2 linked regions of the Canis lupus familiaris genome follow. The protein of the gene in region 1 purifies or fractionates together with the protein of each later gene. This does not show direct contact. Links are inferred from orthologs where the notes say so. Each region holds a gene or a part of one and is shown on either strand. Other genes may lie near its edges.

Region 1 (3,810 bases):
AAGTTGACACAATAGTGCGATGAGGGACGCCTGCGCGGCTCAGTCGGTTGAGCCTCCGACTCTTGGTTTCGGCTCAGGTCGTGATCTCAGGTCGTGGGATCGAGCCCCGCATCGGCTCCGTGCTGGTTGTGGAGCCTCTTGGGATTCTCTCGCTCCCTCTCCCTCTACCCCCTGCTCGCTCACTTGCTCACTCTTAAAAAAAAAAAAAAAGAAAAAGAAAGTACAATGAATGGCCGCTGTCCATTACCCAGTTCCCACGACATTCCGCCTCTTGTTTCGCCCACTCCCCACTCTCCGCTCAACTGTTGTTTTTGTTTTTCAGGGTTTTTTTTCTTGGACAAAACTGAAATGTGTTGAAATGCACGAATCCTAATGGTGCAGGTTAAACACCTTTATCACAACATAGGACCTTTTGGGGCACCCGGGTGGCATAGTTGATTAAACATCCGATTCTTGGTTTCAGTTCAGGTCACGATCTCAGGGTCCTGGGATCCAGCCCCGCGTCGGGCTCCACGTTCAGTGACGAGTCTGCTTGAGATTCCCTTTCTCCCTCTCCCTTTGCCCCTTCCACGTGCGCGGTCTCTCCGTGTCTCTCCTCTCTCTCTCAAATAAATGTATTCTTTTAAATTAAAAAAAAATCAACATAGGACTTTTCATCTCTGCAGAAAGTTCTTAGACGGCCACCCCAGTCAGTCCACCCCAGACAACCAGCGATGTCATCTTTACCAGAATAGATTCGTCTTGCGTATCCTAGAGCTTCACTTACAGCTTGTCCACCTACCTGGAGCCTTTGGCTTGTCTACCCCGCGGGGACACTGAGTTGAGGCTGCTGTGCACGTGCATGTGTAGACGTGTGCTCCGCATCCCCTCCAACACTAGGTGTGCTGCTTTCGTTTGCATTTTCCTGACAACTGAAGATCTTGAAAACTTTGTCGTGTGTTTGTTAGCCATTCGTTTCTCTTCCCCGCAAAGTATTTGATCAGGTTTTTTTCTTTTTTTTTTTTTATTTGATCAGTTTTTAAGTGGGTTTTTAAATTTTGCTGCAGGAGTAGGTTATGTTTCCAGGTTGCAGACGGACTCGGCCTCAGAACGGAGTTCCATCTTTCTGGCTTTGTGGTAGCCCCCCCACCCCCACCCTGGGAAAGCGATCTAGTGCCAGGGTCAGTGTTGCCCTTGCCTTGGTGGAAAGGTTTGTGGTCACAATCCAATTTCCTTCATGACCATTGCCCACTCGGGTCCCTGTCTCTGTTTGGGTAGGTGGCATTTTTTTAGAATTTTGCCCATTTCATTGAAGTTGTGTTTTCCTGCTTGTACTTGTGTTCTGTTGCACCCCTAATTCCTGGCACCTTTTAAAAAAGTAGTCTCGCCAGAGGGTTGTCGGTTTTTCTTCAGCTCTTTCAAACACCAGCTTTTGGATTTCTTGATATTTTCTTTTGGCTTATTTTCTATTTTATTAATTTATATTTTTTCATCATTTCCTGCCTTGTAACTTGCTTGGCTTTGGCTTTCTAATCCTACTCTTTTGTCTGAAATTTTTTTAAGAATTTTATTTATTTATTCACGAGAGACACAGAGAGGGAGGCAGAGACACAGGCAGAGGGAGAAGCAGGCTCCACGCAGGGAGCCGGACGTGGGACTCGGTCCCCAGGATCATGCCCTGGGCCGAAGGCAGATGGTCAACTACTGAGCCACCCAGGCGTCCCTCTGTGACTTCTTAAATCGGACACTAATAAGCTCATTGGCCCCGATCTAGAGGCAGCAGCCCAGGGCACACCGCATAGGTTTTGCTCTTTGCTATTTCTGTTGCCGTTCAGTTCTAGAGTCTTCCTTCAGATTCTCTTCAGCCCGTGGGCCTTCGGAGGTGGGCTTTGGGGCCTGGCTGTGCTTTCCTTGCTTACACTGTGACCAGAGACCGTGGTCCGTGTGATCCCAGGGCCTGCAGGTCGGGCAACAGGCCTCCTGGCATGAGGTCCGTTCACCTCGAGGTGGCTACCGCGGGACGCGGGCGCTGTCACCTGAGTCAGGGTGAAGTGCCAGCGCAGGCTCCCATTCGAGCTCCTCCTGCTGCTTGCACGGGCACGACAGGCACGCTTGCGGCCCAGTAGGGACCCTGGGCGAGTGCCCAGGTTGAAAGGGAGCAGACCGTCGAGGTCGTGCCCACGCTTCTCCTAAGCACCCCGTTCCCTCTGCTGCAGGGCGACCTGGCCAAGAAGAAGATCTACCCCACCATCTGGTAAGCAGCGCCCGCCCCGAGTCCCCGTGTCCCCGTGTCCCCAGCCCTCCCCATCCGGCCGGCCCGAGTCATGCTCTGCCCTCAGGTGGCTCTTCCGGGACGGCCTCCTGCCTGAGGACACCTACGTCGTGGGCTTCGCGCGCTCCCGCCTCACCGTGGCCGACATCCGGAAGCAGAGCGAGCCCTTCTTCAAAGTGAGCGGCTTCCGGGGGTGTCCGTGAGGGGCGCCCCTCCCCTGCCTTGGTGGAGGTGCTCCCGCCCTGGCGCTTCTCACCCCCGCCCCCCCCACGCACCCGGAGCACGCACGCTGCCCACAACCCACACAGCCGTGCGCCGCCCGCCCCTGCCACTTTGATGACCCAAGTGTCATGGAGCCCGGCGCAGGGACCCTGCCAGCTTGAGGCCCCGTTCCCCAGCGCTCCCAGGGTCCTCCCTGCCGTGCCCCCCACACCGTCACCCCTGCCAGGGCCAGGAGCTGAAACAGCATCATCCCACAAAAATCACAGAGCTGCCTCTTGCCCACACACCAGAGGCTGGTGGTGTGACTTCAGAGAGTCCCGCCGGGTCACACCTCCTGAAGTGCCACCCCTGTGTCAGGGCCCCAGGCCCCCCGGGGGGTGACTGCAGGCCGAGGGCCCAGCCTGGGAGTGCTGGAGCCCGTGTCCCGCGTGGTGCTGCCGCCGCCAACCCCGTGGGCCCGCACAGCTGATGGGAGGGGGCTGGGCTGTGGGGCGGGAGGGAGGGCCGGGCCGCGTCCCTGTGTCCACCTTTCTCACTGTCTCAGGCCACAGCAGACGAGAAGCCCAAGCTGGAGGAGTTCTTTGCCCGCAACTCCTACGTGGCCGGCCAGTATGACGACGTGGCCTCCTACGAGCGCCTGCACAGCCACGTGAACGCGCTCCACCAGGGGCCGCACACCAACCGCCTGTTTTACCTGGCGCTGCCCCCCACGGTCTACGAGGCGGTCACCAAGAACATCCGCGAGACCTGCATGAGCCACACGTAAGGCTTGTCCTCTGCCCTCCTGCCTCCTAGGCGGCCCTGGCCCCGCCTGTCGGGCCCCCGGGGCGAGCGTCTGCGGAGTCCGCAGCAGGTGGCGACCCGTCTGCTCTCTACCTGCGTTAGCCCTCCGAGGCGCTGATGGGGTCCCCGTGGGGGGACGCGCCCCCCCTCCCCGGCTCCCTCCTGGCGATCCTGCGGCCCCTGAGCCAGGAATGCCCCTTCCCCCAGCTGCTCCCGCGACGACCACGGGGGGGCGCTGTTGCTCCACGAACCTGGAACCTGCTGCCGGCGCTCTCGGTCCTTCGGGGGCGCTGGGTGCCCTGGCGGCCGCGAGGTGGCGGCGGCGCTCGCGGGATTCCGCCACCTCCAGCCCTGGCCGTGCTGGCCCTGCTGCTGCTTTTTTTTTATTTTCCTCTTTTTCTTTTTGTTTCTCTTTTTTTCTTTCTTTTTTTTCTTTTCTCTTTTTTCTTTTTTTCTTTTTTCTTTCTTTTCTTTTTTCTTTTTTCTTTCTTTTTTTCATTATTTTTTCTTTTTTTTTCTTTTTGTTTTTTTTATTGGAGTTCAATTTGCCAACC
Region 2 (3,249 bases), on another chromosome or scaffold:
TCTTTGTTCTTCAAGGGGGCGAATGGTACTGTTTTGGGCAAGGAGCATCTTTGGAAAGAAATGGAGAAAAGATGGTTGCTGTGTTTAATGGACTTCTACTCCATTGTAGGCCAACTTGATGGATCTTGGATCCTTCATTCTCCCCAGAATCCTTTCCTCTGGGTCCCTACTTCCCTCAGCACTGTCGGAAGTCATGGGGTGGTATATCCAAAGACATCAATCTTCAGAATACAGAATGCTTAATATTTTATTACTGTGTGCTGGGCACTGTGCTTAGTGCTTTTCATGCATTATCTACTAAAATTCTTGCACAGCCCTCTGAGAGTAGCTACTTTTATTATCTGCATTTTGTAGCCAAGGGAACTGAAGCACTATAAGTCATAATTTGCCCAAGGTGGTGAAACCTTTTTTTGATATTTTATTTATTTGTTTGTTTGTTTATTATTTTGAGAGACAGAGCACAAGTAGGGGGAGAGGCAGAAAAAGAGGGAGAAGCAGGCTCCCTGACAAGTAGGGAGCCCGATGCAGGGCTTGATCCCAGGACCCTGGGATCATGACCTGGCTGAGCCACCTAGGTGCCCCAGCTGTGAAACTTTTAAGTACCAGGGTCAGAATGCAAATCCAGGCAGTCTAACTCCAAAGTCTTGCTCCTAACTCCTCTGATATCACCTCTAAGTGGTAAGCATGTGTTTTAGGCCTTGGGATTCTTCAGATGGCTATCTTGACTCTCTAGCCTCTAGAGGGAAGGCCCTCATGACCTCAAGCACTCCTTTGCTGCTGCTTTTAACTGGCTGGATGCATTTCATCCCCTGGGGAATGCTCTGGCAGTAATCTTCCCAGTGCTCCCATCCTTTTCTCTGGAGTGGAAACCATGTTTCCCAATTGAGGTCAGTGTTCCAGTAGGCATTGTATGTTGTTAAGAACTATGAAAATAGTTTACAAGAAAAAGACAATGGGCAGCAGCAGCAGCATTCTCTCTTTACCCCTATCCACCCATACCCTGGGTTGGGCCCTATGACTGAAGTATAAGAGGCACAGTCCCTTGACTGGGCTGATAGTATATGGGGACCGAGTGAGTTCACAGTATCATTTCTATGTGAATATTCTCATGGCCCCTTAAGGTACTAGAAGGAGACAAGTTTGAAGTTATGTACATAAACTACCTTGGCTCTTGCCCTTTGTTATCTTTTCTGGTAAGCTATACGTACAAGCCAGGCAGTTCGTTTCTTATACCTTCTAGGAGCTACCTTATGCGTAGTTGATAGGTCAGAATCCTGACAACAGCCTGCTCGCTTGGCTGCTTGAAGGTAGCCCAGCTCGGACTCTTATTTGACCCTTCCCCAGGCTACGGAGGAGAAAGTACGGACCACAGAGACACAAGTGCTTGTGGCATCTGCACAGAAAAAGCTGCTGGAGGAGAGACTAAAGCTTGTCTCAGAGCTCTGGAATGCTGGGATCAAGGTAGAGGAGGCCAGTTCCAGGGTGGCAGTGAACTTGGGAGTGCTGGGCACAGCCTAAATAAAAGCTCATCCATAGCAGCTTCGTGGAGGAGAGCTAAGAGCACGTGGGCCCCAAGGAAGTTGTCCCTGAGAACAGTAGAAGCCAGCCTTCATCTTCTGCCCTGGTCCCCTGCAGGCAGAGCTGCTCTATAAGAAGAACCCTAAGTTGCTGAACCAGTTGCAATACTGTGAGGAGGCAGGCATCCCACTGGTGGCCATCATTGGTGAGCAGGAGCTCAAGGATGGGGTCATCAAGCTCCGATCAGTGGCCAGCAGGGAAGAGGTAGGTAGGTGGCTAGAGAGGCTGAGGGAAGGGGAATGTATGCCATTTGGGCAGGCTGTGCTCATTCAAGACCCAAGCAAAAGTCTGGAACTCATGTTAATACCCACTCGGAAAAGACTAAAGGGTTATTAACCTGTTACTATTGTCATAGTAGGATAGGAGTCCCATCTGCAACCATACTTTGTGTCTCTGGCTCCTTTGCCTGCATTCCTGCTCCCAGCTGAGCCAAGCCTGGTGACTAGAGGAAGGAGTGGGCACTTGGGAGCAGTGGAGTCAGAGATGCTCATACCATCTTCTTTACCCATCCTGGCCAGGTGGACGTCCCAAGAGAAGACCTTGTGGAAGAAATCAAAAGGAGAACAAGCCAGCCCTTTTGCATCTGCTGAGTTGAGCAAACTATCAGGGGAAAGTGGGACTGGCACTATTTGTGGCTAAAACAAGACTCTGCATATGTACTACGAACAGCTTTGCACACTTCTTTTCCAGCAGGAAGACCTCCACAGTAGTCAGAACAGAGATTTTTTATTATGAATACTTTATTGGTAATCACGGGCAAAAATGGCCAGGTATTACACCATTTTTCCATAAGAGATCCTGGGGGCTGAGTCTCTGCTCCAGGGATGGAGCCTAAGTTGGTCTCCCCTGCAGGACCCCTATGCAGAACCCTGACCAAATGGAGGGAATGCTCCCCACAACCAACCCTTAAAGGTCCAATAAAATGACTCAACCACTGGAGCTTGTGTGTCACTATGGCCTAGCCCTGCCTTCTCTGTGGGAGCTTGGGCCTCCTATTCCAACTACTTGAGCGGCGAAAACGGGGGGAAGGGGCGGGGAGGCTCTACAGTAGACCCCACGGGCTCTTCCCCAGGGTGAAGGGTGCCCTTGAGGCTCTTGCCTCCAGCGCACATCCAAGCCCTAGGAGTTGGGGCTGGTCGCACACTCACCGGTTTAGGTTTCTAGCTTTCACCTGAAAGTCAGGTTCCCGAGGCGCACGTGCAGTGGGTACCCCCACCCCCTTGGAGGGCGGGGTCGTGCTCAGAGCCAATGAGAGCTTGCGGGGAGGAGGGGTAGGGAAGCTTCCAGAGGCCTTTGGGGAGGAGGTTATAAAGGGGGTGCCGACGGGCAGCCGTGAGAGTCATGCAGTCCAAGCGGGAGTGTGAGGTAAGTGGCTGGCAAGGGGGCTCAACAAGCGCTAGCTGCGCAGGGGGTAGTGGCTCCTTGGGCTGCAGTTGCCCAGTCGCGGTGGGGACGGGCGTGGAGATCCGCCATTCCAGCCTGCCGTTTCCCCTTCAGCTATGGTGTGAGAGGGTGAATCCTGAGAACAAGGCGGCGTTGGAGGCGTGGGTCAGGGAGACGGGCATCCGCCTGGTGCAGGTGAACGGGCAGAGGAAGTATGGCGGGCCACCCCCAGGTACGGTAGTCCCAGCTCTACGCCCGTCGGGCTCCACCAGCCTCGACGGCCCCGAC

The links.
Region 2: the proteins of G6PD (region 1) and HARS1 fractionate together in Homo sapiens (co-fractionation; 3 studies listed by BioGRID). This does not show direct contact. The link is inferred for Canis lupus familiaris from reciprocal best matches to the Homo sapiens genes G6PD and HARS1.

What each region holds. Positions count from the first base shown.
Region 1 is NC_049260.1:123,409,336-123,413,145, reverse strand, and holds part of G6PD (glucose-6-phosphate 1-dehydrogenase), read left to right. Parts: intron 1-2,195; coding exon 2,196-2,233; intron 2,234-2,318; coding exon 2,319-2,427; intron 2,428-3,017; coding exon 3,018-3,235; intron 3,236-3,810. UniProt on the Homo sapiens protein: Catalyzes the rate-limiting step of the oxidative pentose-phosphate pathway, which represents a route for the dissimilation of carbohydrates besides glycolysis.
Region 2 is NC_049223.1:34,955,950-34,959,198, reverse strand, and holds the end of HARS1 (histidine--tRNA ligase, cytoplasmic), read left to right. Parts: intron 1-1,344; coding exon 1,345-1,461; intron 1,462-1,635; coding exon 1,636-1,786; intron 1,787-2,096; coding exon 2,097-2,173; 3' UTR 2,174-2,517; downstream 2,518-3,249. Other genes in the region: DND1 (dead end protein homolog 1), read left to right, coding at 2,920-3,193. UniProt on the Homo sapiens protein: Catalyzes the ATP-dependent ligation of histidine to the 3'-end of its cognate tRNA, via the formation of an aminoacyl-adenylate intermediate (His-AMP). Plays a role in axon guidance.